Linked DNA regions of Drosophila melanogaster. The protein of the gene in region 1 interacts with the protein of each later gene in a pairwise test. Each region holds a gene or a part of one and is shown in the gene's direction. Other genes may lie near its edges.

Region 1 (5,732 bases):
ACGTTTAATGTATTAACTAATTGATTCTACAAGCGCCTGCCCAAAGTGCTTTGCCTACCAACACATTGGGGCACGAACAAAATCGAAATTAATTAGAGAAAAAACCAAAGATTAATGGCGAAAACGAAATCGAAATCCAATTCCAAATCCGAATGCAGGTATTTTTAGCAATATTCGTAGCGTGTACAATATGTCGCCCTTAAAGCTTATTAGAATCAATCTCGTTCAATGTCCATCTCAACTCACCCAGGCACTTCACATGCATATAACCATTAACAGATATAAATCAATATATGTATGTAATAACCAATGACAAATGTTTAGAAGAGTTTCGATTTTTGTTTGGATTTTAAGCAGACCCGAAAAGAAAACAATTGTATACACAGAAACAACACCCATGAAGCCCCTGAGTACGGAGAGCCCACTGGAGCTCCTGGCATCGCATTGCGATTTCCCGGAGTCCTTTTGGGCGGCGGAGTAATTCCGAAGTAATTCCCGTCTACCAAGACGGACACACAAAACAAAGAAAAACTCTATAAGAATCCCCGAAAGCAACAGACGGCTAATGAGAGTATATATATATATGAACCGTATATAAACAATAATATTACTAATTAATTTAATGATTAATTGCACCCCGAAAATACATAATTATTTAAATAAATAAATAAAAACAAAACCAACGTGTTTTCTAAAGCTGGGTAAGCATATTGATTGAAGTAGGTGGGTATTTAAATGAAAACAATAACTTCATTGTTTTAAATATTAATTATGTGGAAATTTCCCAATGCTGACATGTTCTCCAAGCTCGTGAACCAGATTAACTCCCAAATTGGGCGACAAAGGATGCGCTGCCTAAAAATAGGAGCACACAAAAAGTGTAGCATACTATCCAGCGCACTAAACTGCGCACTTGGTCTGCATACATAAATACCAATTGGGGCGCAGACAGCGTGCAAACAGGGTAATGGAAATAGAAACCCGTCTGCGGTGGGGAGCCTACGCTTATGTCAGACAAGTGGGGGAGCACCAGGCGCCTATTTACCACACACACACACACACTTGCCACACCTGATTAAAATCTATTGACAATGCAGGCGACGCGAAATTGGAGCGGCGCTAACAAGGCTCCACAAAGGAATCGATGGCCCCTGCGACGGAACAGGACCAAAGCCGCCCGGCAACCAGCACTTAATGAAACCCAATTACCGCAGGTGTCCGCCAGGCAAATCCTGGCGGCGGATGGCAAACAATAACAGCTGCTGCCGCAGCACCTGCAAATTTTATTTGCATTTTCCTGCCATTCTAACACCTCCCAACTTTTTCCCAGGGGTATATTGGTTTCTATTAGAAACTTGCTATTCAAATAGTTGGTGTTCTACAAATTTTATAGATTTAAATTGCGAGTTCCACTCGTATGTATACTTGATATGTGCTAACATATTTAAAAATCGATTTGAAAAATGCATAATTGTAAGTCCCTGCATTCCTGGTAACTCTGAGGTCTCAACTCGCAGTCAACGAAAAATCACTTGTTTATTGTTATCAACTTCGATGCCATTTCCCGGCAAGGACATGCGCAAACACCCCCACTTCCGCCCACATCACTTGGCCATCATCCCCTCTGCGACACCAAGGATTAGGGAAAGGAAAAGCAGAAGGGACACATCTCCGAGTGGAGCAGAGTGGCGTATAAATACCACGCAGCTCGTGCGCACAGCCTCAGTTGGCGGACCGTGTTGCTCGCGATTCCCTTTTCCCAGTCGCTGCGTCCGCAGGTGAGAGTTCATCCGGGAAACGGCCAACTGTTGCCAGTTGCACTCGGCGGGTGGCGCGCTGCAGGGAGCAGTATAACGGCCCCAATTACTGCCCCAACTGCAGCAAATTACGGGTGTGAATTTGATTAATTGCCTTGAAAAGCGATTGTGAGCAGAGCAGAAGTGACTGTAAGCCGGGGATTTGATATAACGACTTGTATGTAAAGTTGACCCCATTTCCGCTTTAATTGGCCATAACAACACAAAGTAAGTAGTGCTCTTCGTACGATTTGTACTATAAGTAAAGTTATTGCTACTTCCGAAAGCATGGTAGTATTTAAAGTATTATTTTGGAATTCTAGTTCCACATTCAAGGACAATCTATCATATACAATACAAATCTTTAGAATATGCGATTTATAATTATACAGCATAAAAGCGATGCCAAACTACAGTAAAAATGTTATGCTAACATATCATATCCAAGATTATATTATGTTTCATCAATCTGGCCAGTTAAATATACAAATGTATAAAATGTGAAAAAAACATATAACCTTAAAATCACTGGTGTAACGGTGTTTCAATCCTTCTACTGCACACACTGCACTTACCCCTATTTCCAACACTGTCGTGCAGAGGAGCCCCAATCGAGTGGCACTGGGGGTGAGTGCTGGCGAGAACAAAACTGGTTGCCAGTCGGGTCGGCGGCTGGTCAATCATATGGCGAGAATAGTGGTTAAAGCCACCCCTGGCGTGGCAGCTTTATCGGGGGTTGCATGTGGTGTTGGGATTGCACGGTGTGCCGAGTGTATCCGATTCCGACTTCTATTCCGAATCCGAATCGGCGGACCTGGTCTCGAATTCGGAAACGCAATCGGTGGCTCGCGCACAGTCAGTCTGCAAACTTCGGAGCGTGCGGTTGTCAAGTTTCGGTCGTCTGCGTGTTTTCTCTTTCCCGATTTCAGCACTCTTCCCGCACACACACACACAGCACTCGCCACACACACACACACACACGGACGCAGACACAGGAAGAAGAGTGAGAGAGGGTGGAGCGGAGAGGAGGCGACTTTCGCTCGAATTTCTCGCTTGTTGTTATTGCTGCTGCCTGCTGCTGTTGCCGTTGTTGCTGTGGCCGTAGTGTATATACCCACTGTGTGACTCCACAGTGTGCGTGTGTTTTTTCCTGAAAGTTCGAATTCTCTTTTTCCGCCTGCTTGAATCAGACTCGGGTTCGGATTCAGAATCGAAATCGATAGTCACCAACCAACTAACCAGCCAGCCAACTAACCAATCAACCAACCAAAGTCACCATGGCCGACAACAATAACTGCCCAAAGTGCAAAAAATCGATCGCCGCCAAGGAGGCCACGAGCATCGGGTGCAGCGGCGAGGACTGCCGGAGAAGGTACCACCGCACGTGCGTCAACATCGACGACGCGGTCTTCGAGGCGATCCAGAAGAACTCGATGATATCCTTTCACTGCGACGAGTGCAAAAACCAGTCGCCACGAGCCTTCGCGGCCAAGCTGCACACCATCGAGGAAAAGGTCAATAAGGTGTGCAACGGGGTCAACCAGATCCAGGGCCGTATGTACCAGCAGTACTTCCAGTTTGGCAACCAGCCGCTTCAGGCATTGGGCGCCTCGGCCGCCGGCGTGGGTGGCGGCGGCCTGGGTGGCGGACTGGACGGGAAGAAGCATCCGCAGCAGAACAACCTCATTGTGGTAGGAAACAATTGTAACTCCGACCGACTGCAAGTGGTCTGCGACTACGGGCGCTGGGTGCAGGTGGGCAAGTTCGCCACGAACACCAGCGAGGAGGACGTGATCGATCACCTGGCCGAGGAGCTGAAGATCAACAAGAACCTGGTCAAGTGCACCAAGCTGGTGAAGAACGATGCCAACCTGTCGCAGTTGTCGTACTGCAAGTTCAAGATCTCCATTCCGGACTACCGCTTCAACGAGCTCTTCAACGAGGCCATCTGGCCCAGCGGCGTGATGGTCAGTCCCTTCACTCCGCGCTCCCAGCTCAACCAGAATCGCCTCTAGAGGAACGGGCCCGGCAGCCGGGAGAGCGGTGACCGGGCGAGGGTGAAGCAGGAGCATAGGACAGGCTGAGCAGGATGAGGAGGATGAGCAGCTGGAGAGCAGGTAGCCAAGGGAGAGAGTGCGCCTGCGCAGGGAGCGGATGAATGATTACGAGCAGCAGCAGCAGGAGGAGGAGGAAGAGGAGGAACTGCATCGCGGCCTGGCAAACAAGGGTTGCTATACGGACTGCAGCACACCGCGGATTCCCCCGAGTGCGCCGACTTGGGCTGATTGATGGAGCAGCAGACGGAGGAGCAACTATGTGCCCCCATTGTATGCTAATTTTCGACACTCGAAAACATTGTCTAGATCTTTAAAAGCTTACAGAACCTATCTAATGGAAAACCAAGAGCATATTTATTGAATTAACTTTGAAAATGCATTTTAAAATGTTTTAGCGTTGCGTAAATAACGAAATGAAATCGATAAAGAAAACCAAAAGTATTTTAATGGCAAACTCACAAGTAAAATAGATGTGAAGCAAAAAATATTAGTCATTTATGCATTACTGTCGTACTTAAATTAAAGTAAACCGAAAACAAAACGAGAAAACTAAGGAAACCAACTAAACGTACTTAAAGAGACACTCACACACACACACACACACACACACACACCGAAAGCGGTTATTCAGGCGCGTATTTAAACCATTTACCAATCAAACATTCAACCCAGTCAATCCAGGCACCGAGGTTCTCCCTTCATCTTCATTTTCCAACTCACTTCCGGGGTGTGGGGATCCTACGGATCGACCAGACCTACGGAGATTCTACTACGACGCGTGTGCGACTACCTATCACATTAAGTACTTAACCGTAACCAATATCAAAACCTATATTCAAGCAGACGACGGCTTATATTGTATTCGTATATGTATGTAGTTTGAGGCATTTTCAAAGCTTGTTCCTGTTCCCAAAGACGTTTGGACATTTTGCGAACCACTGCACAGGACACTGGCCAGCAGCTAGACCCATTCAGATTCAGATCGAAAGTATATATATATATGCATTTGCGTTTTCGACGGCCGGCACTCCCAGTTGGGATGTCCGCCGGCCCGGATGGCAGTTATCACAGTTACCACACACGTTCCACACGGACAGGACTAGAGACGAAACTAGAGGAAACGAAGCTGGGCAAATCCGTTGCAATAATAACTCACTGACCGAGTATAATGGATGTACATTTCGTAATTGATCTATTTTTTTACACCGATCCGACAGCAATATTTTCCGTGGACTCCACGCCAGCGATCCGAACAGAACCGTAGATATTTACGCAAGAGTCAGCAAACGAAATGTAAAACACATATATTATATATTTAGTATACAACAATATGCATGCATGTATTTATGTCAACTTTTTCAATAAATTCTACAAAACTTAAATACCAAACAACCATTCGAGGGGATTGATCTTTGGGTCATCTATGGGCAGATCTGTAAGGATAACGTTTACTATACTTGCAAAGGACGTGTTCTTTCGCATTCTTTACAGATTCAAGATTCAGCAGAATGGCCAACTCCAAGCGAAAGCTGCCCACGAAACCCAGTGCCACAGAGGACGCTACTCCGCACAAAGATACACCTAGGTCGTCGGAAGAATTCCCCACAGATGTAAATCACAAGAGTGCCAAGAAGTCCTTCCTTCCTCAAAACGCATTCTTTCGAGATTGCCTCGGTCACGATCTGAGCAACTTCACTAGCCTGACCAACTTTACCAGCTGGCTAAACAGACCCGTAGATGGAGCTGCCCTGGGCATCTTCCGTCTGCTCTACGGAGCAGCCATGCTGATTGACATCGCAGAGGAGCGAGGTGGCGGCCAGCTGGACGTGCGGTTTCAGGAGCCGCTACACTGCCACTTTCCACTGTTCAACGGGATGCG
Region 2 (7,574 bases), on another chromosome or scaffold:
ACTCACATCGTCTGTATAGATTCGCAGGGGAATGTTTTTGAAGGACTCCAAATCGCCATACGGTTCCATTAGCCTCCGATTGACGGCCCAGAACTGATCGAACTTTTCGTTGACCAATCCCAGCCAAAGCTGATTGTGGTCCTTCTTTTGCATAGCGGATATGACCAGGCCGCGGTGCTTAAGCACATCTGCCTCCTTCAGGCAGGACATGTAGTGCGATTCAAGTAGCTCCCTAAGAGTTGCGGATCATCAGTAAAAATTCAGTTGGAACCAACAGTTTGTGTACCCTAGTCGAGGTAACTATGCTATTTTCAAATATTTGAAACGTATTAAAAACCCTATTGTGGTACGTTTATCTTTGTGCGAAGTTGTTAATTCATATTTGGTCCAACTTTTATATGACATTTTCTCTTATAACACGGGATTTGCTTGATGGGCAATTGTTTACCCTGTTATTACTTCGACATCCACGGTGATTGTTCATTGAGACTCGAAAAGGGAAAACTATATATGATTGCAATCCCAAGTTACGACGTGTTAAAGATAAGATTTCGCAAACACGACTGTGGGGTACACAAACTGGTATGGCGATTTCTTTAATAAATACTTGGAGTTGAGCTTGACGAGCATGTCCTCGGGGAACTTGGAGAAGTGAATGGTGAGGCACCAGGGCGTGCTGTCCTCCTCCGGATGCAGCAGATCGTATAGGACACCTAACCAGGATTCAAGACAGTACCATCATTAGTATCAAATGGGCATGCTATGATATCATCATCTCGTTAATGTAAACCCCACCAATTGGATAGTGAAGTCGCAGGGGCGTTCCATTGAAGTCGAACCACACAGCTCCATCCTGGTGTTCGGCGCTTATATAGCGTGAGAAGTACTTGCGAACCTGCCAGGATATGTACGACAGTCATTGGGATCTTATAATTGGTATGGCCATTTCCATTTGAAGCCTTTGTTTACCTTGTCAGTCACCAAAGGCAAGTAGCTGAGTCGCGATATCATCAGATAGAAAGGCTCCGGCTTAATGCCCACGATCTCGTCCCGATCCGCCTGGAAGCATATGCCTATCTGGCCCTCCCAGATCATTCGCAGCACCTCGCGGTCGTGGGCCATGTTCCTTATTTGGCTTTTGTTTTGGCTAAATTATATTTCCTTTTTGCACAATACGATTTGCGATGTTACCAGATGGGTGAAACAATGCTATTTGATAATAGTGATGGCACTTGGCATTCGAAGATGGCAACGCTGAAATATCGCACGCCACTTTGCTGCCAGACTGTTTGATTTATTTTTATTCATAGCTATTTTTTTAAACACACGCGATTAAAATATTTGCTCACAGAAAATATTTTCACCATAAATTTGTAACTTAATATTTCACATAGATATATATATATATATATTTGCATTCAAAATAATATAAAATATCAAAAAAATAATATAACAAGTTTTTCGTATTGATCGAAATGTTGATAACTCCAACAACGCAATTATGAGAAATTAAAATTGCGCGCTAGGAGAGGAAAACATACCAAGATTATAAAAATATGATATTAATTTATTATTTTAGACCTAAGAAATAATTCAACCGCTTTGTTACCAAAAAACCATAAGTTATCGATCGCCATTAGTTATCGATGACGATTGCAGCAGCTGCATGCAACCGTGCAGCGCATAAATAAATAAAGTCGACTTGCCTCTGTGCTCGCTTTTTGGTGATTTTTTTTTGTGCTGCGGCTGCGCTTTTCGAAATTCGAATCTCCGTATTCGCTGTGCGATATGATGTGATGTTTACTATGAAGTGATCAACTAAATGCGACCGCGAAGCTATCGTAAAGCACAGAAAAACGGATGAATTGAAGGAAAACTCCAGAAATCGCATAGCCCAACTCCAGCAACAACAACAACAACAACAATTCGGAATCGGAGGCGCATTGTGTGAGCTAGATCGGCGAAGGAGAGGGAAAGAGAGCAGGAGACGAAGGAGAGTGGGAAGAAGGAGAGGAGAGGTGGAGGAGTGGTGCACAGAATGGATGTTGAAATACCTGTTTTGGCTGGATATCTTAATGTGCCGACCCAAACTGGATTTTCGCTAAATCGCATCTCGAAAAAGGTATGGAAAATCGCCGTATTTCCGCCCTTCTATATAAATATTTCCCCATTTATCAGGGTTTAAAAAGTTACTTTCTGTTTGCAATTATCCTACAAGTGCGTAGTTTTCGATAAATCAAACAGGACCTATGTGTTAATGTGAGTGTGTTATGTGCATGTGTTTCTGTCTGCATACTTGTTGCATACAAATGAGGCCCACTGTGCGAGTGGGAGTGAGACAGCGATACGCGGTAGAGGGAGTGAGCGAGAGAGGGGCCGACTTCATACAGTTAAGGCCATAATATTAGCATATCATTTTTAATAATATTAATATTCCAAGACCAACACAAACCCTTTAATGAATTAAGTGAAACCGTATTTAAAAACAATATATCAGGCAGTAATAATATGATGCTTTTAAGTTAAATTAAAATTCGAATAACATGCTATGCATTGATCCTAATAACTTTACCCCCACTGTTGGAGTTTCAGATGGCACACACAGCTGGCGATTCATGCTACTTCGTGGTATTTGTGTTTATGCGCGACAGGAAATTCTTGAGCCAGCAGAAAACTGGGGAAAAAGGGTGGTGGTGCAGGGGATCGCAGAGAAGGGGCAGAGTGAGGGCGAATAAGTACTTCACGGTTTAGCCCATTATGCTCATACTCTATTTTTATATTTTTTTTTAGCATTATCCAATGCAGGATACTACAAAATCTTAAGACAAATTTGAATTGATTCTGGTTATTTATACACTGCAGTTTCATATGCATATACATATACATATACAATACATCTTCTTCAGTACGTTACTAAGATATAATCGTTTTAAGACATCCAAACCGATTTAATCGAATCCCAATTTTTTCTTTTTTTTTTTGCAGAAAGCATGCAGTCGCTACTGTTTGCTATTCAAGGCCAGTCGGCATGGGATTGCCCGCCTGGAGATGTGCGAAAGCAAGGAGGACCGGAACCCCAAAATCTTCACCCTCGAAAACTGTGTGAAGATCACTCAGGAGCCGCCTCCCGAACGCCTCATTCACATTGTCAAGCGGCAGGCTACCCTAACACTGAGCACAAGTAGCGAGGAGGAGCTCAAGGATTGGATCACCGCCCTGCAAACGGTGGCCTTCTGTGACACCTCACCATCGGGGGGAATCGGGGCCATCGAGGAGGACAACGACCTCTACTGCAGCTCCTTTGTGAGTGATCATCTCTGTATAAGCGAAAACTTTCTGGGGTATTTCGTTATATTTGCGTAATCTTATAGTTGTCAAAAGGGGTATACGATGAATCTAAAGCGTTCTTAAGAAACTAACGTGAAAATGCACCTCCAATTCCATTTTTAGTCTCTGACAATAATTGGCACGTTTAAAATAAGAATATAAAAAAAACCGAACCGCATAAAAAATCCATAATAATCCACACCTTTTATAAATTTGCAGGATGGCTTGTTCATTATCACGTTGATTCCATCCGAGGCCTCCATTCGTTGCTGCATTGAACCTAAGACATATATGCTCCAAATGACGCCCACTGAACTTCAGTTGAAATCGGAGGATTTGGGCGCCACAATCGCCATGTGGCCATATCGTTTCATTAGGAAGTACGGCTATCGCGATGGCAAGTTCACCTTTGAGGCGGGCAGAAAATGCACCACCGGCGAAGGCGTTTTCACCCTGGATCACACCAATCCACAGGAGGTATTCCGCTGCATGTCCGCCAAGATGAAGTCGATGAAGAAACTGATTAGCGGCGATAGTCTGAGCACCTTGGAGTGCGGTGAGAATCAGTTTAGTGCGGCAGCTGGCATGGAGCCCGGTTCGCGAAGCCCACTGCCACCATCACCGTCGAGTAATCCCCACGGTGGCGAGTTCGAGATCAACTCAACGCAAAGCTGCATATCCCTGAGGGGCTTCATTAGCTCTAACGATTCTCTTAATAACTTCTCGGCGGGTGGAGGTGGAGCAAGTGGCGCCACAGCAACGGGTGGAGGCGTTTTAGGAAGTACCGGAGGAATCACGCTATCCGTGCCCGCAAATAGCAATAGCAACAGCAGCAGCAGCAAACACATTCCCAACAAACCGCCACGCAAAAGCCCGACAACCCATTGTGATAAATACAGGAATATTGTGAAATATGAACCTGTGGCCATAACTACGATATCTTCGCCATCCGCCAATTCCGATGTGAACAGTTCAGTGATACTGAAACCCCTGGAAGGCGAATCGATATCCCTGCCGGAAACAGCAGCCGATTTACCGCCCGACTTGCCGCTGCGAAATGAGAGCGCCTCGAAAGCACCGCCTCCGGAGCGGGATTACGAGTGCATCGAAAATATCACAGAGGCGTGGCGCACAAGGGGCGTGGGCGATGTTAGGCACAGTGAACGTATGCCCATACTCTGCGATACCTCAGAATTTGTACGCCAGCGATCAGTATCGAAATCCACCTGTGGCAGCCAAAATACACCCAAGATCATAGACATCGATATCGGTGAGGGTTGCACTAGCGCCACATCCATTAGTGAATCGAATTACGATCGTTTAGACTTTCTATCGCCGAACAATAAGACATCGAGTGGCTATAAGACCATTGTGAATGTCACACCCGGTAATCGCATACGATGCAGTCCACCGCCACCCAATGAATACGAATTGATCGCTAGTCCCGATACGGAAAGCTTCCGTAAAGCCGATGACAGTCATCGCGGTTACGGGGTGCTGCGAAAGGCTAGCACCACTACGAACAATAATAATCTAGGAATCTCCAATAGCAATATCAGCGGCGGTAGTAGCACCATCACAACTGCAACGGCCAACAAAGGCGGCAATCTCGAGGCGGCAGCCATCGATCATCGCAGCTATAATGGCCTCAACTACACAATGGTCAGCAAACCGAAGCGAGTGTAAAATATTTAAGGATTTCAGATCCGATAGCAAGGATCCAGAGATCCTGGCATCGAACTGGGTGCAGTGGGGTTTTGGGGTGGATCGGGAGGAGATAGTCCTAGTTTTTATTTGTCCCAGAACTGTTGCTGTTTTCAATTTAATTCAACACAACTTGTTGACATGTTAATTTGGATTTTCCCAGTAGTCAAATTCATGACTATTTCGTTATTGGACGACGCCAGATGAATAAGCTTGTGTGCTTTTCGCGATACATTTTAAGTGTTGCGATAACAAATGTAAATGTATGTTCAAAAAAATTTAAAAAACAAAATTGAAAACAGTAACGTGCCAGTAACTTTTTACATAATTTCATACATTTTGAGTATAAGTGAAAAAGAAGAGACTGCCGAGTGCCTTACAGTTCTACAAAAAGAAAGAAATTCCTGGCTGGAAATCGAGGGAAGGAAGTGCGTCGAATCTCTAAATCCCAGAATTTGTCCTTCCCTTTGCCAAGCCAAAAACAAATACCATTCGAATCGTTCAATTTTTTTTTTTTTTGTAATTGTTTTTCGTTAATTATGTTAAATTCGTAATCTGTGATTGTATTGTTAATTGTGAAACTGTTACATTTTTAGCAAGCACTGCCCGCCACTTGATGATCGCACTCGAAAAATTCCCCCGGCTCTTACTTAAAATGTAGTGTTAAATTAAAGCAAGAGAAAAATGAAACTCAATCGAATCATGGACGTAACGAAAATTTACAAAATGTGTATGCGATTTATGCTAAATATATGTGTTTTTGTATATTTAAAGGAACTAGATTTTAAATACACTGCAATTGTACTTGTTTCCGTTTATCCGTCCGTCTTCTCAAGGTTTTGATGCCATATAAATCGGTTATTCGAATTGTTATTCCTATACGTTTTTGTATGATAGATCATATAGCTGCCATAGGAACAAACGGTGTAATGCCATTATCTCAAAAATCACCCAAAATAGTTGACTCTTATTTTTTTTTTTTTTGCTCAATCTTAGACTGTAAATATACAATAGGTTTCTTAAGTGTTGTTTTCGATTGCACCTCCTCTCAATAACCCAAATAAGAAACCCGCCCCATCGTTACCCCATGCACGTTCGAGTTCTCAAGCCAGGATTGTTGTAAACGACAGTTTTGAGTATTATGCAAAGGTCACAAAAAAAAAAAAAAAAAATTTATATAAATTAAAACGAACAAACGAAGGCGAACACAAATAAGAAAAATACCAAAAGAAAAATAGTGACGTTCATTTTACTTGAAATATATCATCTTTTTTTTTTTACTTACCTTACGTTTACGATTATGACTATTGTAGTTATTAATTTTTGTGTCTGCAAACTATTATTGTGTAAATAAAGACCAACAAAAAATCAAACAAATCGAATTGAACGACTTTCATTTGTGTCCACTCAAGTATGTCATGTTACGAATCTCAGAATCGTTTTGGCTTTTCAAGCGATAGCAACTGAAAATCTGAGTTAAATTTTGCTCTTTGTACTATTATTTAAAATAGCTGCATTCGCGCACACACCATCAAATAATCCATAAAAAAAAAAAAAAAACAAAAAAAAAACAGTAAGATGCTGCTACTTCGCCGTTGCCACAAGTTAAAGTTGCGTCCATTGGCCCGTCTTTGCTCCGCCGAATTGATACATAAGGTAATATATATAGGTAGATATATATATATATATAATATTTATGTAATTGCAATTCCACAATTTCTATTTAATGTTTGCAGGATGGCTTCATCGAGAAGCTGCGCCATAGTTTCGATGAAGAGGAGCGTAGTAATGTGGTGGTGCCCACGTTCAAAAAGGCTATGCTCTATCCGGATGAGATCGCCGTGAAAGACATCAATGGGGAGTACACTTATTTTCAATTGTATATGGCCGCCAAACGTCTGGGCATTCAGATCTCAAATATATGTGGTAAGTGACAAACCATTTTTCCGGACGTTCAATTTATTTACGGTTCAATTTCAAAAAGTTTGCAAATTCTTCTCTTTTTTCAGGCGGCGCCGCGCTTTCGAATGTAACATACTTGTGCTCGAACAACGCCCTGTGGATAGCTATACAATGGAGCTGTTGGATTTCCGGACAAGTGGCAGTTCCACTGGAATCCGGCCAGGCGATAGATCAATTGCAACGGCAGGCATCGAACTGCAAGACCAAGCTACTGATAGCCACTAAGGAATTTGAGTCACTTGCCCAGGAATTGTCGCAGGGTGTGAAATCAGCTACCATCATATTGGATCACTCATTTCTCCCGACGGCGGAGAGTGTATCCTCGACATCGATGTATGCCAAACAGCTGGTGGCGATCCAGGGTGTTATCGTAACGGAAAATACGTTTCCAAACGATTTCTATTCCAAGGCACCAGCCATGCTGATCTATACGCCCAATGCGGTCAATAGTCCCAAGCCAGTGTTGTTGACCCATCGGAATATCGAAGCTCAGATGCGATGTTTGATCGGAACTTGGCATTTGGGACCTACAGACTGTATGCTGCCAATACTATCCATGAATCGAATGCATGCCGCCTTGG
Region 3 (5,542 bases), on another chromosome or scaffold:
GACACTTTCGAGAAAATCCGGGAGGCTGGTACTAAGACCCAATTGGATTCAATTGAGTGAACTCAACCAGATTTACACTTGCCTCTGGAAATGTCGCAAAAGCCGCCAGCGGAAATGTTAATTGAATCGAGTTAATGTATTTCACCAATGAAAATATCTCTTAATTGAATGGCAAGCATGGCAATTGATGGCCCAGCATTCCAGAGGTCACTGTGTTATGCAAACTGAGCAATAAAACTAAATGGGAAAGTGTAAACAGATTAAACTTGTTTCGCCAGTTTATCTGAGCAGAATTTTTGGGGGCTCGTCAATGGGAAAAGTGCATTCTGTTGAAAAGTTATCTGAAAGATTAGATATAAATGATGAAATATTTTGACGGCATGCGTTTTATACTTATTAAGGTTAAACTTCAGACGCCTGACTCATAACAAACGAAACAAAGAACAAACTACAACAATGTTTCGCCTAGAGCCTTTAAAAATATTTAAGAAGCCATTTTCCATGCTTCTACTGAACTGACCCAAACAACACGAGTGTAACCTCTTTGTAAAATGATCTAGTACTACGCCACAGTTAAGAACAAATTAAGTCCTTTCCTGAGCAGTGCATTGTTTGTTTACTCGTCTGTCGTCGTGCACAGTATGTGTGTATGTATGTTTATATATTTTTGGCTGTGTGTTCAGCTGTCTCCGTTATAAATACACCAAGTTGCACGGCGTGAGCAATTGATCTACTCTTATCACAAGACAATTTGGCACGGCCACCGGCAGCTGGGAACACAAATAACAATTTGTTTATTTTAGACAATATTACTTCGTGGGGATTTCTGCGCATGCACGTTGTTTCGATATAAATGTAAAAAAAAGTGCGACCAACCGGCGAGACGAAAGAAAACCGACTGACATTGAGAGGCCAAGAAATAAGCAGTGGTGACGTAAAGAAAGATAATCCCGCTTCCGTCACAGGACGGATAAAAAAGCATGGTAAAAAAAAACAGTCTTACCATTTGGCACTCAATTAGAGGGTGACCCCAAAAGTATGCTACCATATGCTGCAACTATACTTTTTTAAATCTACTTCGGCAGCGCAATAAATAAATGATGACCCAATGGGTAATCTTATTATTATTGTTGTCTAGAGTCTAGCACATTATGTCAGCATCAACCATTTTGGACCCTTGCGGTGAAATCATTGACAGTAGCTTTTGATGCCCTGGTTTGGATATCCATGTGACCGCACAATATAAAAGCGGCACATGACGCCAAAATAAGTGACGACACTACTAACGGCAAACGAAGGCGAAACACAAGTTGATCGAATAGAATGTACCCTAGCTGAAATGAAAGTTAATCATATATTTTAGAAGCATTGGAACATCATAGAGTATAGAAGTAAGTCTCTTATACTCAAGAAATTCATTATTTTAAGATCAACCAATTCTTTTAACCAATTTATAGCTCATTATTTAATAGATTTTTTTAGGGCCTTCCTTTTTTGGAATAGGTCACATCATTAAGTGCCTTGCATACTAATTGTACACCTTGCATACAGTAGTAAATAGTAAATATTTATTCGCATAGCGATATGAAAATTATCATGCCCATAGAAAAAGCATTTTAGCAATAAAAGCTTGCTTATGGTTCTGATGACTAAGCAGCAGCTTTTGCCAACCTGAGTCATAGACCTCTTAAGCAAAACTAGGTGACAAAACTACCTTAGTTATACCGAAGCTTACATGCCCTTACCACGAGGTGAAAGTCCAGGGAACAAAAAGTTAAAAAGGAAATTACAATTATCTAATATTGTGCCCATGTACAAAATAGTTATATGTACATTTGTAAGTAAAGAAATTTTTTTTAAAGCTATGCCATTATGCTAGAAATTATCAGCCTTTAATTAAGATTTACATTTAAGAAAAATAATTGCCTTTAAAATAATTAAAGATAAGCCTTAGCATGTGCAGTATACCGCTATGTGAATAAGTTAGCTATTCGAGCTGGTACAGTTCGAATACTTTCTATATGGCCAACGATCTCCCACTTTGCAAGTGAGAGCGCCAAAGCTCTTGGAGCTTTTACTCTCTCACCGTCTCGGTTTTTTAGCATTGCTTACCTCGCCGGCATTTGGGCTCCATTGGGGCAGTTTGAATCAGAATCTCAGTAAGCGAACATCGTTGATTGAAACAGCAATCATGCCAATCGGTGAGTTTCCCAGTGGGTGTGGGTGGAGTGCCCTGAGCAGTTGGATAATGGAATGGATAATTGGGTGAATTTAAAGATAGGGAAATGTGCGGCGGAATTTTTGGCCCACGACCAAAATAGCATTGTGTCGTCCAATTCCTAGAATCGAAACATCCCATTCTTTATCTATGCTGGGTTTTTACCAGTGAAAAATACAAGCGACTTTCACCTTGTGATCGTCCAGATTCAATTAACGGCAATATGCTATACATATTGGACTGCCTTTATTTGGCCTAATTTATGACCCATCGAATTGATTCTCGACCAAAGGTGTCCGAAATTGTTCACCATATGCGATGAGTCACTGGTCTTCGCCTTGAACTCCGACAATAATCAATAGGAATTCAGCAGGGTTGACCCTAGGGAGGTCAGACGAAAGATGCACCTCCAATGATGTCATGCGAAATAATGCTGCTTGAGAAACCATTCGTGTAATCTATTCAAAGTGAATAGCACAAACCTCGCATATATCTGGGCAAATGTTTGTCGCTCGAGTGGCAGTAGAGCCGGCTCAGAGCTCAAAACTCGAAATTAAGCTTGAGTGGAATTAGCTAGAACAATTTGTTGCGAAGAACTGATGGCGATCTAAATGACATCATGCGAATGGTGCTAATAAGCAAGCGAAAACAAAAACAGACGCTAAACATGCTGATATATGTATGTTTATATGTACGTAGAAACCTAACAAACATAAAAATAGCTACGAATTCTTTCCAGTTCAAGTATTTTTTATGACAACATTCTCATGTTTGAGGTTGTTAATTCAAACCTCAAAACTTTCCCACCTTTCAAAGTAGTAGTGGGTACAGTTGGCTCAGAAAAACGTAGCCGAGTGTACAGTTGCCTCTGAGAATTTGTACTAATATGCCATCTCATTTGCAGAAGTCAACACCCCCGATAAGTTGGAGTACCAATTCTTCCCCGCCAGCGGTGGAGTTTTTACCTTCAAGGTGCGTTCCCCCAAGGATGCTCATTTGGCACTCACACCCGCGCCCGAGGAGAACGGTCCCATTTTCGAGATCTTTCTGGGAGGATGGGAGAACACCAAGTCGGTGATCCGCAAGGACCGCCAGAAGCCCGAAGTCGCTGAGGTGCCCACTCCGGGCATCCTAGATGCCGGAGAGTTCCGTGGCTTCTGGGTGCGCTGGTACGACAATGTCATCACCGTTGGCCGCGAAGGAGACGCCGCCGCCTTCCTTTCCTACGATGCTGGTAGCCTGTTCCCGGTCAACTTCGTCGGCATCTGCACGGGATGGGGTGCCAGCGGCACCTGGCTGATTGATGGTGAGTTTACACTCTGTTCCACGCCTTTTCTATCAAACGGAAAGCACAGGTGTTTACCCTCTCTGATTAGTTTACCCATCGTAATGATCTAAGTTAGCTATTGTTCTACAGCTGCTCAATGGCATCTATTGTCTAGTCAGCTGCTTCAGTTTGAATATCGAGTATTACTATACCCGCTACTCGTAGAGTTGGTACTATTGAGTACTGATCAATAACACTTAATTGCTCTCCAAGACTATATCCTTGCTATAAATATGTATTTGCCTATTATATATACATATATGTATAAGATTTGCTAATGATTTCATGAATTTCTAACAAATGCCACTATTTCCTTGCAGAGCCCGCTCCATCGGCTCCCGTCATGGGCTTCGCCGCGCCCACAGGAAGCGGACCAGGATGCTGGGTGCCCGCCGCCAACGGTGAGGTGCCACCCAACGCCCTCGAGGGAGGATTCGACAGCAGCGAGCAGCTGTACATCGCCCGTGCCCGCCATGAGGGCGACCTCATTCCCGGCAAGCTGCATCCCTCCCACGGAGTGACCTACGTAGCCTGGGGAGGTGGTGAGCACGGCCACGCCGAATACGAGGTGCTGTGCGCCGGCGGCGGCCAGTGGTTGCCCGTGGATGCCGGAAACATCCCGCCCAACGCCCTGCCTGCCGGAGAGACCGCCGAGGGCGAACCACTGTTCATCGGCCGTGCCACCCACGACGGAACTATCACTGTGGGCAAGGTGCAGCCCTCCCACGGATGCTGCTACATTCCGTACGGCGGCGAGGAGCTGGCCTACAAGGAGTTCGAAATCTATGTGACCAACTAAGCCACGGATCGAATGTCCAACGCACTGAAACAAAACGTTTTAAATCAGTTAATCTGAGCGCTTTACAGTTCAACTGGTCGCAGAAATTTTATTTTATTTATATGTGCATTTCTACTCAAAACTGTTAAAGAATCTCTATATTATGTCGAAAAGTTTATTACATTGTTCAACGAAATTGGTTAATAAACAATAAATATGTTTAAGAAAATAACATATCTGAAATAGGCACTTATTTGCATTCATTAAGCTTGGAAATAAATATAAAATAAGCTGAATAGCTGCTTTAATTTTTCAAAAAAGTGGTGTGTTAAGATTAGTTGGATTTTGGTTTTAGTGAATCTAACAGTTCTATCGCAATCATTAATCACCTTTTAATCCATTTGTACTCAATGAAATTAGTATCAAACATTCTTTTTTTTTAATAAAATCATGACTGAAATGAAATGACTGAAATCTATAGATTAGTTTAAGCAGGCAATTGAAAATAATTTACTCCCACTCAATGAAAATCTATTCCTAATCTCATTATCAGTGAACCCATAAAACACTCATACAAAGTTAGTTGAAATGTTGGCAGTACAAGGAACATATTGCTATATATATATATATTTATACCAAAACATGTTTTCTTTTATTCATTTTTAAAATGAATGAAACATATCATATTGGCCTATTTACATTTAAATTAAGGGTATAACTGAGTCGGTTTAGTCTATCAACTATATTAAAGTCAGTAACCAGCATGTGAAGTTTTTAGGTCAGCAACTAACCTTTTTATGTTTCTTTGAACACCTGGCTTTGAAATGGCTTTAAAATAATAAAAGTATCATATTTACAGACCCAAAAATACCCTTCTGCCAATGTGAAGCTTATAAAATATAATAGTCTATATTAAATTGGTCTCATTGATTAGAGGTAATAATGTTTGGACACAAGCTTAAGATACTTATCAACTTAAAATTCGATCCAAAATATTAAAGGACAAAGTATTCATGTTCCTATTAAACCTAATATGCCTTGATTACTTAAGTTTGCCAAATATCACAAACATTTTAAATGTTGAAGTACCTCTTGAGAAAATTTACAACTTAAGGGATAGTAAACAAAAAATGAATCTGTACTTGAGATACAAATACCGGTCGCTAGTATAAATATTACAATTCAAAGCACGCGACGAAGACCCAATAAATTAGTCCGA
Region 4 (6,182 bases), 290 kb from region 1:
AGGACGCCCTGAACAACTTCATTAATCAGCACGACATGATCCACGATGCCGAGGTGGCCGACAGTCGTCCCTTGCCGCCATTACCCGTAAGGGCTTTCAACGATTCGGACAGCGATGAGGATTACTTGCTGGATGACGATGACGAGGACGACACCGATGAGGATGAGGAGTACGAGACCATTAACGAGCACGATGCCGATCCAGTTAATGGACACGTGCCCGCGACAACACAGCCACATGCCGACGATGTTAATGCCAACAACGAGAAGCCAGCGGTGCCAGTCGACGAGCAGCACAAGGCGAACGGCATCGATCCAATTCCAGGCCAGCTCCCAGCCAGGTAAGAATCTAGTCTTAGATCTGCTCAGTATCTATTTTTCAACCGCCTAGTCAAACAAAAATCCCTCTAATCCCCTTCCAAATTCGTACTTTTCAGTCCCGAGAACGAGCTGAAGCGGCGAAAACGCAACGAATACCAGGCCAGCCTGGAGCAGAAGGTCAACGACATGAAGCGGAAGCAGCGGGAGAACGAGGACAAACAGCTGGCGGCAAAGAAACGAAGGTCATTACTCACATATATTGCCGCTGGTGTTGTGGTGGGCGTGATCTGCGCCTACGCATACACGAAGCTAGGTTAAGTGCCCCGTAGCCACTAAGTAGTCGTAGATCAGTAGTAGCAATAGCTGTATGACGTATTTAGTTGCCGTAGGAGACCGATTCCTCCCCTGATACCCGATTTCCGACTTCCGATCCCCACCTGCTCGTCCGCCTGACCCGGCATCTAATGCGGGCAACGAATCAAGGACGACGTGCAACGGATCGGAAAGGATCAGAGATCGGACGGAATCGCATCGCAACGCCATGCAATCGCACACGAATTGCGGATGGCGGATTGATTGAGCTGAACGAACGATACAAGATGCATAAATATTAGGGAATTTTTTATATACGAAATACAAGAAGGAAAACAAAAGAAACAAATGAAAGAAAAGAAGCAACTAAACTAAACTAACGAAAATCGGGTAGAAATCACGTCAAATGTAGATTTTGCGCAATAGACTGACATTTTAGATCAAATTTATTTTCTACACTCTAAAAATGGATTGATAACCGACCAGATGCCCCAAACGAGCCATACCAAATGCAAAGCTCACCCTACTTGCTCGCTATGCTTAAAATATTAAGAATATCATAACTACCAATGTTTCAAGCACCCGACAACCACCCACTACACGCTTCACTTGTTGTTGTACAGCAATTTCTTATAGCATACGACCTATGTATATTTATTTATGAAGATTATGAGAAACCACCACTTGTTGTAGTACATGGCAAAATATAAAGTGCAGCAATGTGCCAAAAAGAACCGAATCGGAGAATTGTACGAAGTGTCCTAAACGACTCTTAATTTTACTTTGCCTCCCGCCTACCACTACCACTAACTTTGAATTGTTGTGTTTAAAATTAAAGACCCTGTCCCCCCTTAAACGAGCACTTTATTAATGAATCGAAATTCAGCGCCATTAAAGCAATAACTTACGGTTAAACAAAACAGCTCGATGTACACCTATATCTCGTTTAACGCTTTTAAGGAGTGTTATAATCAAAATTGTTCATTTCGCACACTCGCCCCCGATCGATCTGAAATCAAAATAAAGTGATTCTTTTTTCAAATTGTGACCGTGGACTAGTTGCACGTGGCTAGTTGCAAATCAAATTAAACTAAAATCGGTTTACTAAGTCGCTAAGCGAAGTATAGGTGTATGATTTAATTATAATCCAGGTTTTGCCATAGCGAAACCATTTTGTATTAGAACGAGAGAACGAAGAAGGCGAAAGACTATTCAATGGTTTTTCCAGTAGAGTAAGTGTGCAGTCCCAATCCCAAGAAACATATTTATATAAACGTGTAGCGTGAGAGGACGCAAATATTTTTTATATGTGTAACCCACACTTTAACAAAATTCAAGTAACCACCCCCGAAAGCGAGGCACTATGAATCCATATGAAATCGGATGGGCCCAGGAGGATAACAAATAAAGGAAATACATATTTATATTAAGTATATTTAACAGAAACAACATGAACAATACCTAGTAATGCCTAGTTAACTAAACGTCGGCTAAGTACACCAACCGTACACTGAAACAAATCCAACACAACACAGTACTATACAATATTATGCCTATGAGAGAAAGAGAAAGGAGGAGCAGAGAAAGTATTCAAATAAAGCTATACGTTTAAGACATGAAAACTGCGAACCGCTTGATCCTGGCGCATTCCCTTGCCATGTCCTTGTCATTCATAACATTTTTCATCTCTTTGTTTGCAGGCGCGGGAACCGACTCAAAAAATCCAAGACAAAGTAACGGCACAGCCCATCCAGGTCAGCACCAACACAAAGAAACAAACTAAACATATCATTTTGCATTACTGTAGCTTCTAATGCCTAAATAAACTATTTTTAAATTGGAAACCAAGTTCAGAGTTATCGATTATATATCGACACGCAAAGCTGTTGCATAACGCGACGTGAGCATTAACAGAATGTTAATGTAACTTAGTGTGACCGGAATGCGCAATATACTGCTTTGGTAATATTTTTTAAAGTTGCTACTGCCATTATAGGTAGTTTAAAAACTGTTTTCTACACTCTTTCTAAATTTGATGCAAAAATTATTAAGATTAAGATTCGTTCTGCGAACGTTCTGCAGTTGCTTCTTTTAACGTGCAACCATAATATATAAGCACACTATGTGGTATATTTTGGTGACTCGGTCTGGCAGCACTGCAGTTGATTAACATAGATAGCAGTGTTTGGTAACTGTAGCCCCGCAAAAAAAAAAACGTGCGCACGTTGTTTGATTTCTGTTTTTGTTTTTGCTGGAAAACTTAGTGAAAATATGACCAAGGTGCAAAAAGAGGTGCGATGCGACCATTGCGGCACAAGCCAAGGGTCCAAGAGTGTTTTTTCAGGTCAGAAGGTGTTCCTGGGCAGGAAAATAACAGACGTACTGGAGACCATCACCCACAGAAGCGTGAGTTGGAAATGGCGGCATTCTGATTTCCCTTCTCGTCATCTAAATCATCCCATCCCATTTCAGATCCCATCATCCTTGCCCATCAAGATATGCTTCGTCTGCACCTCCACATTCATGTCCAGCGCGGCACTAATCGAGAAGGTCCGCGAGACGGTGGACAGGGTACAGGAGCAGCCCGCCAAGAAGACTAAGGTAGCGGAAATAGAGGAGCCATCGACACAGGAAAGCGATAAGAAGGCGGTTAAGGTGCCAAAAAAGAACACCACCCTCCGTCAGCGCAGCAAGTCCATAGCAGCTTTCCCGCCAAGCTTTGTGAATGGAGCTAATACTAATACAGAAATCGAGATCATTAGTGCTTCGCCCAAGAAACTCGATAAGACCCCTAAAAAGCAGATATCTCGACTCTTCGAGGATAATCTTAACGATTCGGTTAAGCTGACGCCCGCCAAAGAGGTGTCGTCTACTAAAAAGGCTTTCCTTAATCTCTTTGGCAACGGCGGCAACGATGCCATCGAAGTACTGACCGAGAGCGAGGAAGAGGAGGACTCGGATAAAGGTCCTATCACCATTAACACAAATAACTTTCAGTGTCCAGAGTGCGAATTTCACGCAAAGTTTCCCAAACCGTACAAGGAGCATCTGCAGAAGGAGCACGGTCTTCAAAGACCACGCATATACCCCTGTACCTTGTGTATTAAGACTTTTGGAGTGCTTAAGACTTTGAAAAATCATTTAAGGGACACTCACTCACGCACTTTTGAAAGCGAGGCTAAGACTAAGGCGAAGGAAAGCAAGGAAAAAGAGGCTAAGTCAGGGGCCAAGAATAAAATTGACGCAAAGGCAAAGGAGACCAATGCTGTGAGTCAAAGGAAGAAGCCAAAAGAAAAAAAGTCCAAAGAGAAAAAGACAGAGATCAAATGTAATGTTGAAACCAAAGTGGTTGACGAAATCGACGACCAAGTGAACAACAAAAAGGGCACAGATAGTGAGGACGCAGACCAGACCCAGGCTACCAAAATCGCCTCCTTTAAAGCGCTAAATGAGTCATTAATGAAGAAAAGGATGTTAGAGAACGTGATCGACTCGGAATATACATTTGCCATCAATGGATCCAGCGCCTCCACTCCCAGGGCGGATTCGAATAATTTTCAGTGCGAGATCTGCGACTGTGAGCTGATGACCGCCAAGCAGATGCAGGAGCACATGAAGACCGTCCACAGCATCGACAAGCCAAAGGTTTTCAAGTGCCACGTCTGCGAGAAGAGTTTGGCTACCAAACAGTCGCTGAAAACGCACATGACTCTACATGCCGACGGTGCTGAAGCGCCGAACTCCAGCAAGCGAAAGATTCTGCAGGACGAGGATGAGGACGTAGACATTCTGGGTACGACTCAGATTGAAAACACGGCCGAGAAGGTTGAAGGACCTAAGAAATCACAACAAAGCCCTACTAAAGCCGCAAAGTTCACCAACCGAAAGATTCTGCAAGAAGAGGATGAGGTTGTGGAAATTGTGGACGCTTTTAAGACTGACAACACCGCGGAGGATGATGAAGGACCCGCAGAAGAAAAGATTATACGATCCAGGAACAACATTCAGCACCAGGTCGATGGAGGCATGATTGCACCTCGGTCGCCAGCTAAAAAGACAAAGAAGACCAGTCACGTAGATCTGTCTGTGTCCACAACCAATGGCAATTCGCCTGCAAAGTCAGAAAAACGAAAAAAACAAGACAAATCTGAGGACACGCTCCCCTCATCTGATGTAGACATAGTGGAAGAAATCAACTACAACGTGCGGCCGCACAAAAAGGCTCGCCTGGAGTCCATTGGTGACTCAACAGCCGACGAGTCGACCCTCAGCTGCGACCGGTGCGGGAAGTTCGTCAAATCGCGTCAACGCTTGGACTCGCACATGGAGAAAAAGCACGCCGCCAAACTACAGTGCACCCTATGCAAGGAAGTCTACCAGAACCAAATGGATTACGTGGCTCACTTCTCGAACTGTGGTTCCGAAGGTGGACTTCCATGCGGCGTAGCCAATTGCAAGAAGGTCTTCACGGAGGCCAACTTCCTATCCTCGCACCTGCGCAAGCGCCACTAGTTGCACTAGACTCCCTTTTATTTTTGTTTTTCATTTCATTCTCTTGACCAATGTAGTTTTACGTTAGCTTATTGCTATGTTAAGTATAATTCTTTGAATTTTCAATGGCTAACTTTGAAAGGGTCTATATAAAGTTGATAAAAGTCGATGAAAACTGCAATTTATAACAAGGTTACTTCATACATTTTTAACTATTATTAAGTTCAATTCAAAAGATAAGTTTAATTTGTATATTAAGACTTTATTATAACCGCATTGGTTACACCACTTGTACTCACCAAGAGTATATAAATTAGCTTGAATGTAATAAACATATTTGTACTGAGCGATGAACTGTTAATAAAAAATGGCAAAAAGCTACGAAATTGCTTGTTTCAATCAGTGGAGAGAAAAAATGACACAATATGAGTTCACTTATACATTTATTTGTCATATTCCCGAAACAAAAACAAAACTAAAATAACGTTTACGCGGAAACCAACCATTAACGATGCATTCGCCGGGGAGAGCAGAAGGATTGAATACAATACCGATGTTAAATCAGGGGAAGCATGAGTTCTCCACGGGAGTTCAACAACGAGGCGGAAATGAAAAACATTTTGTCTAGTTACACTTTTCTACTTAATGTAAACGATGATATTGATGACGGGCTCAAGACGACGCCACTTTGCCGTGAATCTCTGCCTGGGCCACCTTCATCACGTCGAGGGCGCCGCGCTTGATCAGGTCCTCCGCCAGCGTCTTGCCCAGCTGGTTGGCCTTCTCGTAGATGCCCCGACTGTGACAGGCGTGCTGGTAGAGACCGCAGAACAGGTTTTCCACATCCTCAATGAGCACCGAGTGCTGCGGCGTCGGCTGCTCCTCGTCGGCGTAGTCGAACATTTGGACCGTTTTCTGCAGGAACGGGCACTTGGCTGTGGCTGCGTTTCCGTTGTCCTTAGCCGGCGCCTCAAGACCGCTGCCCTGATGCATGGCCGCAAAGGGACACTTGGAGGAAGTTGCAACATTATCCACTTCATCGCCAGCGCTGCTGGCATT

Evidence for each region.
Region 2: the proteins of CG13928 (region 1) and Dok interact in a two-hybrid assay, tested with the Drosophila melanogaster proteins (one large-scale study listed by BioGRID).
Region 3: the proteins of CG13928 (region 1) and CG10527 interact in a two-hybrid assay, tested with the Drosophila melanogaster proteins (one large-scale study listed by BioGRID).
Region 4: the proteins of CG13928 (region 1) and indra interact in a two-hybrid assay, tested with the Drosophila melanogaster proteins (one large-scale study listed by BioGRID).

The regions. Positions count from the first base shown.
Region 1 is NT_037436.4:1,625,291-1,631,022, reverse strand, and holds CG13928 (uncharacterized protein), read left to right. Parts: upstream 1-2,645; 5' UTR 2,646-3,073; coding exon 3,074-3,811; 3' UTR 3,812-5,232; downstream 5,233-5,732. Other genes in the region: GC (gamma-glutamyl carboxylase), read left to right, coding at 5,362-5,732.
Region 2 is NC_004354.4:7,322,551-7,330,124, forward strand, and holds Dok (downstream of kinase), read left to right. Parts: upstream 1-1,663; 5' UTR 1,664-2,038; coding exon 2,039-2,122; intron 2,123-2,985; coding exon 2,986-3,303; intron 3,304-3,546; coding exon 3,547-5,013; 3' UTR 5,014-6,256; downstream 6,257-7,574. Other genes in the region: Atg5 (Autophagy-related 5), read right to left, coding at 7-232, 608-713, 796-895, 970-1,122; Acsf3 (Acyl-CoA synthetase family member 3), read left to right, coding at 6,610-6,687, 6,768-6,957, 7,041-7,574.
Region 3 is NT_033778.4:21,069,384-21,074,925, reverse strand, and holds CG10527 (uncharacterized protein), read left to right. Parts: upstream 1-2,136; 5' UTR 2,137-2,191; coding exon 2,192-2,201; intron 2,202-3,030; exon of another isoform or gene 3,031-3,122; coding exon 3,123-3,524; exon of another isoform or gene 3,525-3,865; coding exon 3,866-4,344; 3' UTR 4,345-4,558; downstream 4,559-5,542.
Region 4 is NT_037436.4:1,338,784-1,344,965, reverse strand, and holds indra (indra), read left to right. Parts: upstream 1-2,562; 5' UTR 2,563-2,574; coding exon 2,575-2,594; exon of another isoform or gene 2,595-2,896; coding exon 2,897-3,038; intron 3,039-3,104; coding exon 3,105-5,144; 3' UTR 5,145-5,506; downstream 5,507-6,182. Other genes in the region: Ptp61F (protein tyrosine phosphatase 61F), read left to right, coding at 1-340, 437-638; Hmbs (hydroxymethylbilane synthase), read right to left, coding at 5,796-6,182. UniProt on the Drosophila melanogaster protein: Required for rDNA copy number maintenance and non-random sister chromatid segregation (NRSS) following unequal sister chromatid exchange. Binds ribosomal DNA (rDNA) preferentially binding to intergenic spacers (IGS) regions on both X and Y chromosomes.